Oryzias latipes: one gene and its partner. The protein of the gene in region 2 purifies or fractionates together with the protein of the main gene of each other region. This does not show direct contact. Links are inferred from orthologs where the notes say so. Each region holds a gene or a part of one and is shown on either strand. Other genes may lie near its edges.

Region 1 (4,887 bases), on a different chromosome or scaffold from region 2:
CAGGTTCATTGACTGACTTGTTGCACATTTCCTCAAGAGCCTTTTGAGAGCGGAGGTAATTATATTTCTTCAGATACACCGCTTTCTTTGGGCGAACTGGCTTATTGCTCAGAGAATCAGCTAAATCTGTGTTAGGAGTGTTTAAATTGTCTGAGGGCATTAAAGAACGGACATCCTTTCCTGCCGATGCAGATGGTGGCTGAGAACTTAGTGGGTTTCCTGAAGTCACAGAGGTATCACTAGCTCTGGGGGTAATTCCGAGCTGACACGCTTGTTCCTCTGCCATCATCAAAGGGCCTGGGACTTGATTTGAAGCAGCATTGTTAGTCTGAATTGCACTTAGCTTGAAGTACTGCTTACTGTAGAAATTACGGAGCTTGTATCCATGGTGCAGAGGCTTTTCTGCAGACTGGGAGCTGCTAGACATGTCACAGTTAGAGCTGCTGTTGGGTAAAGAAACCGGCATTCTTCTAGTGTGTTCCGTATCACTGTATAAGTTAGGCCGTGGAGGTTCTGTGGGACAGTGCAGGTTAACATCGTGAGTCAGGCTGCTTCCCAGAAGGCAATCGTGCTCTGAGCCTAGCATTCCTGGGAGAGTGAAGGAATGCATTTCCACGGGTGGGGGGCAAGGTTTGAGGAAAGCATTACACAAATTCTGAACGTTTGGAACTTGTAAGTTCTGTGCTATGTCTAGAAGTGCCTGTACATTCTCTTGGTTAATGTCCAGGTGGGATGTATACATGTAGTCCAATATTTGGCCAATGCCACTGACATCTTGGATAACCAAGTTAAAGACGTCATTCTTCTGACTGGGAGAATTTTGGAACAAAGACCTGAAAAACAAATGTAAAAAATGGTCATATCTCTTAGGGTTCACAGCAACACCTCATGTGGATATTCTGTTGTCAAATAAATGCATAAAAGTACCTAAAGTAGGAACTAAAAGCAGCCAGAACGTTTTTGTGAGCTTTAAAACAGACTCCTTTAACCACCAGCATGCAGTCACAAAGCAGCCCTTGGATTCTTTGCTCCTGGAGCTGCTGTAGGAGGTAGGAGCTGTGGCTGGACAGGGTCTCCATTTATGATCACTCAGCTTCCCCCCTTTTCAAAGCGAAACACACAAAAATCACATTTAAAACAACAACAACAGCCTGAGTTTACACGACTCAAAAGTAAAAGTTGATTACGAGTCAAAAGTAAAAGTTGATTAAAGGGTTGAACTCTAGTAGTGAGCCACACACCGCAGTCCATGTATAAATATATATATATATTTTTTCAAAAATAACTGTCATGTAGCTCAAGAATCGCTACAAGACCGTCCATGCAAAAATTTGACCTGCTACTAAGCTAACAGCGTGGCTATTCGAGCCATTTACAATGACAACTAATAAATAAACAGCTGACCTGTCTTAATTATAAAGGTGTTTATTTATATATATTATTTTACTATTGTCGATATCCATTCAGAGGGGTCCCAAAATCATTGTGAAGTGTTTCGTCTTTTATTGGGATGACGGGTCACTCGCGCTTAATAACATTACGTAACTTCCTGGTACAACGCTTATTTTGTACCCCTCGTGGGAAAGAAATACATCTTATACTAAACCCCCAAACAGTGGGACTATATACATTTCTAAAGTGCTGTTGAAATCGTAAATATACCTCTTTGTAGTATAATTATTTTGTGTTATGAAATGTAAAAAAAGGTTTTCAGGAAGAAAAAAAAAGGTCTGCGGAACTGGTGTCTAGTTAAAATTTCTATACGGAGAATCAAGACTGTAGCTTCAAGGAATGTAATCACGTGTCTGTTCAAAAGTTTAGACGGGAGAAACTCAACCCGCACGTTTACGCTCAAATTAAAATTTTAAAGAGGTTAATTTAACGGGCTCTAATTTTTGGGTATTTTTAAAGACAATGAAGGTTTTGTTCTTTGTCATGCGTTTTTTATAACTTACTAGAAAAAACGTTAGCTTGCCGTAGGCAGGTCTCTAGTCAGTGCATTAATTGATGGTGTTTAAAGTGGTTTAACTTTCTGTCGTTTTGCTGGTTTAATCTACATATTGTCTTTATTAATTTAGAGAAAGGTTGCTTCTGTGGATAAAATTGATCAAAATGGTGTTCTTCACCTGCAATGCGTGTGGCGAGTCTCTGAAAAAAGCCCAGGTCGATAAACACGTGAACATCTGCCGTGGGTGTCAGGTGTTGTCCTGCATTGACTGCGGAAAAGATTTCTGGTAAGACCAATTGGGTTATTTCTAAACATTACAAAATATCGTCGGGAACAAGTTTGTTTTTCCTCCAACCGGTGCCATGGTACTAGGCTGCAGGTTACCGTAGTGCCCTGTAGGCTTACTTGATTTGTTTCTTTCTCTAAACTGATTTTGATTGCCTTGGGCTTCTTTTGCGTTGTCACGTGCCTGCTAGCCCTAATTTGACTATTTCCCACCACTTCTGGGTCTGAAGTGGGATACGGGTGCATCGATCAGCTGTTGTTGCTTGGCAACAACAAAATTCCACCAGAGAAGTGACCGGAGATCGAAGGAGAGGCTGAGGAGACTGGGGTCTCTTCAGAGTTTACAGGACTCTTAAGATTTTTTTTTATTGTGGCGAAGTCCTGGGGCGGTGGCGGATGCACTAACTGACATAGGAAGAGGATCAACAAACTGGTATGGAGATACGACTCCATTCTGGATGTCCCTTATAGAGTCTGTGACTGTGGAGGGTCACAGGACGATGTTACAGAAACTGAAATGCATCATGGACAATCCTCTTCATCATCATCCTCAGCATGAAACCATGGACTTCAACACCTTGTCACAGAATTTTCTTTCTGTTAGCTACTAGACTCTACAACACCTCATAGACACTGGATGTTGGAGCCAAATTCACAGTTTATATTTAATAGTTATTTTTGGAGCCAAATGCACTGTTTTGATTTAATAGTTAATTTAAATAATTATTGTTTGAACTTCCAATTAAAAACCCTACGTCACAGAGATGCTGTTAGTGAGACTCATTGTTGATTGAAGCCGGAGAAAGTTGGAAGCGATATCGTTTTTTGACTAAATTGTAGTGGCACTCTCTCTGCGTGTCTCACTCGCGTTTCAAATAACAGTTGCCGGACAGACGTCAAACGGTGGAACAAGAGAAAGACACAGAGAGAGTGCCACTACACTGGGGAATAATCACTGTTCTTCATTTTTAAGTGTATTTTTTAGTATTAGTTATTATCTATCTGCTGTTTTTTAATAGAGCTATGGTAACACGGAAATTTCCTTTTTGTGGGATCAATAAAGATTTATTCTCTTATACTCTATTCTAACGCATAATGAGCTCTGTGACTGACCAAGTAACGCATTCAATGTGACTCTTTTCTGCGTATTACCTAGGGACGACGACTATAAAAATCACACTAAGTGTATCAGTGAAGACCAGAAGTATGGGGGGAAAGGCTTCGAGGCCAAGGCAAACAAAGGCGATGTCAAACAACAGCAGTGGTTACAGGTAAACATCTTCCCAAGTTCGATTATATGTGAACATTTGTTTTTCTTTTGGATCCTGACTTGTGTCTTTTCCTGAAGAGAATCCATGAAGCCCTGAACAAATCAAGCATCAGTCCCAAGCTGAGAGATGTGCTCAGGCAAGTCAGTGCATACGACAATGTCCCCAGGAAGAAAGCCAAGTTTCAGGTTGGTGTTACCAAAACTTGTAAGAAGGGTTTAGGCTTTTACCAGGAAGATTATTAAAATGTGTATTTACTTATTACTGTTAATGTTTTTTCTTCTTTCAGAACTGGATGAAAAACAGTCTAAAAATATCCAACACAAGCCTACACGAGGAAGTGTGGAACATAATTGCTGCTGCCGTCGATGTAAGTAGCTGTTTTGTTTGTTAAAGTAAATATTACACTAAATTATTAGCTGGGGAGCCTAAGCTTTAATGGAAATCAATGGAAAATAATATTAATGTGATATTTAAGGGCTGGAAATGTATTAAGTGTTGTGTAATACCGTTCATTCTTTCACTGTACTGTTGTTTTGCTTATCTGTAATCTTTTGCACCCCAGGTTCCAGAAGATACACAGCAGCACATGGAGAAAGAAGCTGAAGTCCAAGCAAACACTAATGGAACTCAAACTCCGTTTGGCCACGAAGATGTGAAGAAAAACAAAAAGATGAACAAAAGAGAACGCAAAGAGGCCCGGCAGCAGAACAACGGAAAAGCTCCAAAACTATATGACGAACAAGTCACACAAGAGCAGAAAGAAAGCCAAACAGGGAAAAGGAAAAAGGATGGAAAAAGAAAACACAAAGAAGCAGAAGATGAAGAGCAAAACTGTGATGAAAATGAGATATCTGCCAAGAAAAGGAGTAAATAACATTTTTTTTTCTTATTACAACACTTTTTTGTTTGTTTGATAAAAAGGATGGTTTTTGTGTTTAAGGCCTGTGTTCCTGTTTTCTTTCAACCTTTTTTCCAGTTAAGGTTGCAGCAGAGGCTAATGATGCTGAGATGTCAAATGAGGCTGAAGATCAAGCTGTTCCTCTGGGTAAGTTAACTCTAGACTGACTTAACCCAGTGGGTTATGGTCCTTAAATGATTGTATTTTATTGGGAGTCCAGTAGAGGTCAGTCTTGTTCTTCATTATATGAAAATGTTAATTTGGTTGCTCATTTCTTTGGTTTTCCTTACAGGGAAATTCCACTGGAAGGAAACCATCATGGCGGTTCTCCGTAAAACACCTGACCAGGAACTGCCCATCAAAAGGCTCAAGAAGAAAGTGAGGCTTATAGATGATAGAGTTGTTTGTTTGCTGTTAGATTCCTGATCTAAAATATTTTCTTGCTAGTTGAATCTTGATTTTTGGTTAATCCCGGCTTTCTTTAC
Region 2 (4,277 bases):
CAAATGCAGTATAATGTCAAAGTACACTGTAAGCAGTAAGTATTTCTAGTCAAAAGCCGAATGATCTCAGTCATTTAATTTTATTTAATCTTTCAATTATTTAATTATAATTAAGTAACTAAAAAGTAAATGTAACTTTGCAACTTTAAACAAGTAACTCTGCCAATATGAACAACATAACAGTTATTAAGGATCTAAAAAGTAACTGTAACTTTGCAACAGTAACAAAAAGCAGAACTTCAAGGCAGCCGGAGCAAAAAAGTCAATAAAACTTCTTAACTATTGATTAGGAACAAATGTGAAATAGCAGTGATTAGAAGCAGCATGAAAACTTCTTAACTAGTGTTAACTACTACACTGCAGTGCTCTCTTCAAAAAACCTGAAACAGACTAGAGCAGATTTAAGTTTGATATGCTCCATTTTCAATCATTGATAAGTGTATTGCACCATATTAAAATTTGCCGGGGGGACATGCCCCCGGACCCCCCTAAAGTTAGGGGTGCTTGCGGCGTCCGTCGCCTGGGTGCCGCCTGCGGGCGGCGGGTCGCCCTGTGCGCGGTGTCGGGCCGGTGTGGGCCCTACGGGCCAGTGCAAATTTCTGGGCTATGTCAACCCCTGGTGAGTTAAATTGAATATGTTCAATATTCTTTTATTACAGCAGACTTTCCATCATTGTTACTTGCTTAATAGCATATTAAATACAGGATTTTTCTGATTTGTTGTTGTTGTTTTGTTAGACACAAATCGTAAATCGAACCAAAACGGCACAAAATTCAGGTTTGAACGGAATCGCGGGGAAGATAAATACTTTCATCCCTAATCTTTGTGCGTTTGTTTGGTTTTTGTGCAGCTTTTTTCATCAGCTCTGGTCACGTCGCACGCAGACGGCGACACCATCGGAGGCTTTTCCATCGAGGACGTAAAAAAAGAGATCAAAAGGGGAAATAAATTGGTGAGTTTGCCGTTACCTGTTTCTTATCCACACCCGTGTTTGATGTCATTTTCTTTCAGTAAGTGATACCTGTTGATCGGATAGCATCTCTAGTGTTTTTCCTGTGAAGAGTTTGTATTGAAACGTCCATGAAATGCAGTGAAACATTCACTGAGGTCGAAACTGGTGTCTTGTTTTATGCTTTCAGTGTTGATTCATTTTGTTTTGCTTATCTGGATGCATCTGTAAGAAGTTAACCAAAAAAAAAAATCCCTAGATTTTAATTAGAAATAGACCAAAAAAAAGTCAAATGATGAACATAAATGTTATAGACCAAAAGATTAGTGAGCATTTCTTCATTTTTCACTTTTAGTACCTGGGAAAAAAACAAATTTGTGTGTTACTTTTCCCAATCTTTCATGTTTAAAGTTACTTTTTAAATTTCTTCTACCAGTGAAGCCTCAATTAAAAAAAAACTTTTTATTTACTTTTTCTAGATAAACATTAATCCAAATCTTTCATGTTATGCTTTATATCCTTACTATGTATTTAAGTTATAACTTCATTTAGTTACATTTAGACAAGAGTGAACTTAAAAGTTCAAGTTACAATAAAATACTTGTGTATTGTAGCATTAATATAATTACTGTTGGTGTGATCAGAGATATTTGCTTCACCTACAATGGTTATGTTTTATTTCTATCTTCTTGATTGATTGATTGGATTTTAGCAATAAAAATACAAAAACAAGGAAAAAAGCAATAAAAGAAAATACAGAAATATCAAATCTATTTAAGATCTTCACTCATAACTTGATTCAAAAACAAATAAAATAAAACGTTTCTATCTTCTCTGCATTATAATGACCCACATGCATTTATGCACACAACACATTAATTCAGTTTTTCTCTCTAGAGTAAGTAAAATGTAGAAATGGCATTTTTAGGGCTTTTTTTTTTCATAAAATGAACACTTTTTAAGGCTGCGCTCGATGATAATGACGTTTTTTTCTCTTTAAATCCATCATTAAATGAAATCACGAGTGGAAGCTTTTCTATAAAAGTGCTTCTGCTTTTATTTCCCCCGTGTCCTCTCCCTCCGTCAGATGTGTTCTTCGTGTCACCGACCGGGCGCGACCATCGGCTGCGACGTCAAAACGTGCAGAAGGACGTATCACTACTATTGCGCCGTGAAGGACAAAGCCCAGGTCAAGGAGAATCCCTCCCAGGGGATTTACCTGTAAGGAAAACATGTGATCTGCTGAAAAACCTGCAGGTTTTTCCTGAACCTGTTCATAAATGAAGCTTCTGGGTTCTTTCGTCTGTTTAGTGTTTACTGTCGCAAACATCGCGATGCTGCTCTGGACGACGTTGAAGGTGAGACGCCTTGTTTCTGTGCAGCTGCCTTCCACCTTTTACTAACTAAAATAACCGAGTTAACTAGTTTGATTTTTAAATATTGGACTAAATTTAGAATTTAAAGTCCCTCTTTGATCGTTTAATTATTGCGTTTTTCTGGGACATAGTTGCTGCAGAGCAGCAGGAGTTCATCAGAAATGTGCCTCTTGGGTTGTGGGGGCAGAGTAGTCCTTCCTCCACTTCCCATCATCCATCTATTTCTGCTAGCTTACAGCTGCTCACATTCCCAACCTAACAACAAAAATGGCGAGCAGTATTGGAGCCATCCAGCTTTACAGTTTTGAGGCAGATTCCAGCTGATCCAAATTCAAATGTTCTGCATCACAAATGTGCTTTTTTTTCCCAACATCATATTTTTTTTTCCGTCTGCTCCTGATTTCCAATTATTTGAACACAGAAATGCTCTGAAATGCACGTTTAAGCATCTTTATAAATGTCCCTCTCTATCAGAAAAATACGGTGGCTGAGAGGTGCAAGACACGTTTAAGATGCAACAACAAATCCCAGTACAAACACTGAAACACAACAGCAAATCACGGAGCACTTTACAGAGTCCTGAAACACGGTTGCAAATTACCAAATACCGAAAAACAGAAACAATCCCGCTACAAATCCAGAAACGCAACAAAGAAAGCGGCTTCTAACAGAAAGGGACGCAATATAAAACCAATCGTATATGATTTTTTTTTAAGTTACTTATTACTGTTTTTTTTTTTTATGTGGACATTATAAATATATGAAACAGTCCAAGAGCATTTTTTTAAGTGTATTAATACAGTAAAAAATGACCACAGTGGGTTTAGCGAGGTAAAGTTTTTGCATTGTGTCCGGTATGAAGGGTATTCTTCCCTTTCCTTTAGCAGCTGCTCGCTTTGCTTCATTTGTTTCTCCGTCTTCTGCTGTCGTGTTTTACCAGCCTGTTGTGTTTCGGCATTTGTTTATTGGTACTAGGTTTTGTTGTTGTTGTAACTTAAATGGAGACGTGTCTTGCACCACTCGGCCACCTTAGAAACAAGGACTTGTTAAAAACGTCAAAGATTTCCATCGAGTGGGTCTTTAAATATTGGGAAGATCCTGCAGCAACGGGTCCGACTCTCAAACTGTTGGTTTCCTCTTCAGACGAAGAAGAAGGAGACGTGGCCAACGACTCGGACTCCTCGCCTCCACAAAGCCGAGGCAGAGGGAGGTTGGAGAAGGCCCGGGCCAAGGTCGGATCTCGTGGCCAGTCGGAAGAAAGTCGCTCCGCCTCCTCGCAGGCTGCAGATGAGGACGGCTCCTCGCATGTAAGAGAACGCCGTTTGAGTTCCTTTCGCCGTGCCAGAGTCTCGTCTGTTGACGTCTGAATGGCGTTTCAGCGGGACAGGTCCCCTCTCCGAAGCAGCCCGGCGGACAGCGGCCAGCGCTGCGGGTTCTGCCACGCCGGCGAGGAGGAGAACGAAACCAGAGGCCTGCTGCACACCGACAACTCCAAGAAAGTGGCCGCGCACTACAAGTGCATGGTGGGACGTTTAGCCCGAACGTTTCTCCCAATGCCGCCGGCTGTTATTTTCCGGTAACCTGCCGTTTCTTCCAGCTCTTTTCTTCTGGGACGGTGCAGCTGACCACAACATCACGAGCCGAATTCGGTAACTTCGACGTGAAAACGGTCATCCAGGAAATCAAAAGGGGCAAAAGAATGGTGAGGAGGACGCCGCCGCGTCAGACGAGCGGGCGTTCGGCCTGCGTTGACCTTCCCGCTCTCTGTTTCCAGAAGTGCACGTTGTGCGGTCAGTTGGGCGCCACCATTGGCTGTGAAATCAAGGCGTGTGTGAAGACCTACCACTATCACTGCGGCCTACAGGACAAAGCCAAGTACATCGAGAACATGGCCCGCGGCATCTACAAGTGAGCACCTGTCCAGAGTAAAAACCCCATTTTTTACTTGAAG

Evidence for each region.
Region 1: the proteins of phf6 (region 2) and lyar purify together in Homo sapiens (affinity purification with mass spectrometry; 3 studies listed by BioGRID and IntAct, with this or other methods). This does not show direct contact. The link is inferred for Oryzias latipes from reciprocal best matches to the Homo sapiens genes PHF6 and LYAR.

What each region holds. Positions count from the first base shown.
Region 1 is NC_019863.2:16,778,553-16,783,439, forward strand, and holds the start of lyar (cell growth-regulating nucleolar protein), read left to right. Parts: upstream 1-1,774; 5' UTR 1,775-2,112; coding exon 2,113-2,234; intron 2,235-3,389; coding exon 3,390-3,504; intron 3,505-3,581; coding exon 3,582-3,689; intron 3,690-3,790; coding exon 3,791-3,871; intron 3,872-4,066; coding exon 4,067-4,370; intron 4,371-4,480; coding exon 4,481-4,549; intron 4,550-4,694; coding exon 4,695-4,780; intron 4,781-4,887. Other genes in the region: zbtb49 (zinc finger and BTB domain-containing protein 49), read right to left, coding at 1-833, 928-1,079. UniProt on the Homo sapiens protein: Plays a role in the maintenance of the appropriate processing of 47S/45S pre-rRNA to 32S/30S pre-rRNAs and their subsequent processing to produce 18S and 28S rRNAs. Also acts at the level of transcription regulation.
Region 2 is NC_019868.2:26,618,769-26,623,045, forward strand, and holds part of phf6 (PHD finger protein 6), read left to right. Parts: intron 1-851; coding exon 852-953; intron 954-2,037; coding exon 2,038-2,171; intron 2,172-2,261; coding exon 2,262-2,308; intron 2,309-3,469; coding exon 3,470-3,633; intron 3,634-3,705; coding exon 3,706-3,849; intron 3,850-3,923; coding exon 3,924-4,028; intron 4,029-4,100; coding exon 4,101-4,234; coding exon of another isoform or gene 4,235-4,238; exon of another isoform or gene 4,239-4,251; intron 4,252-4,277.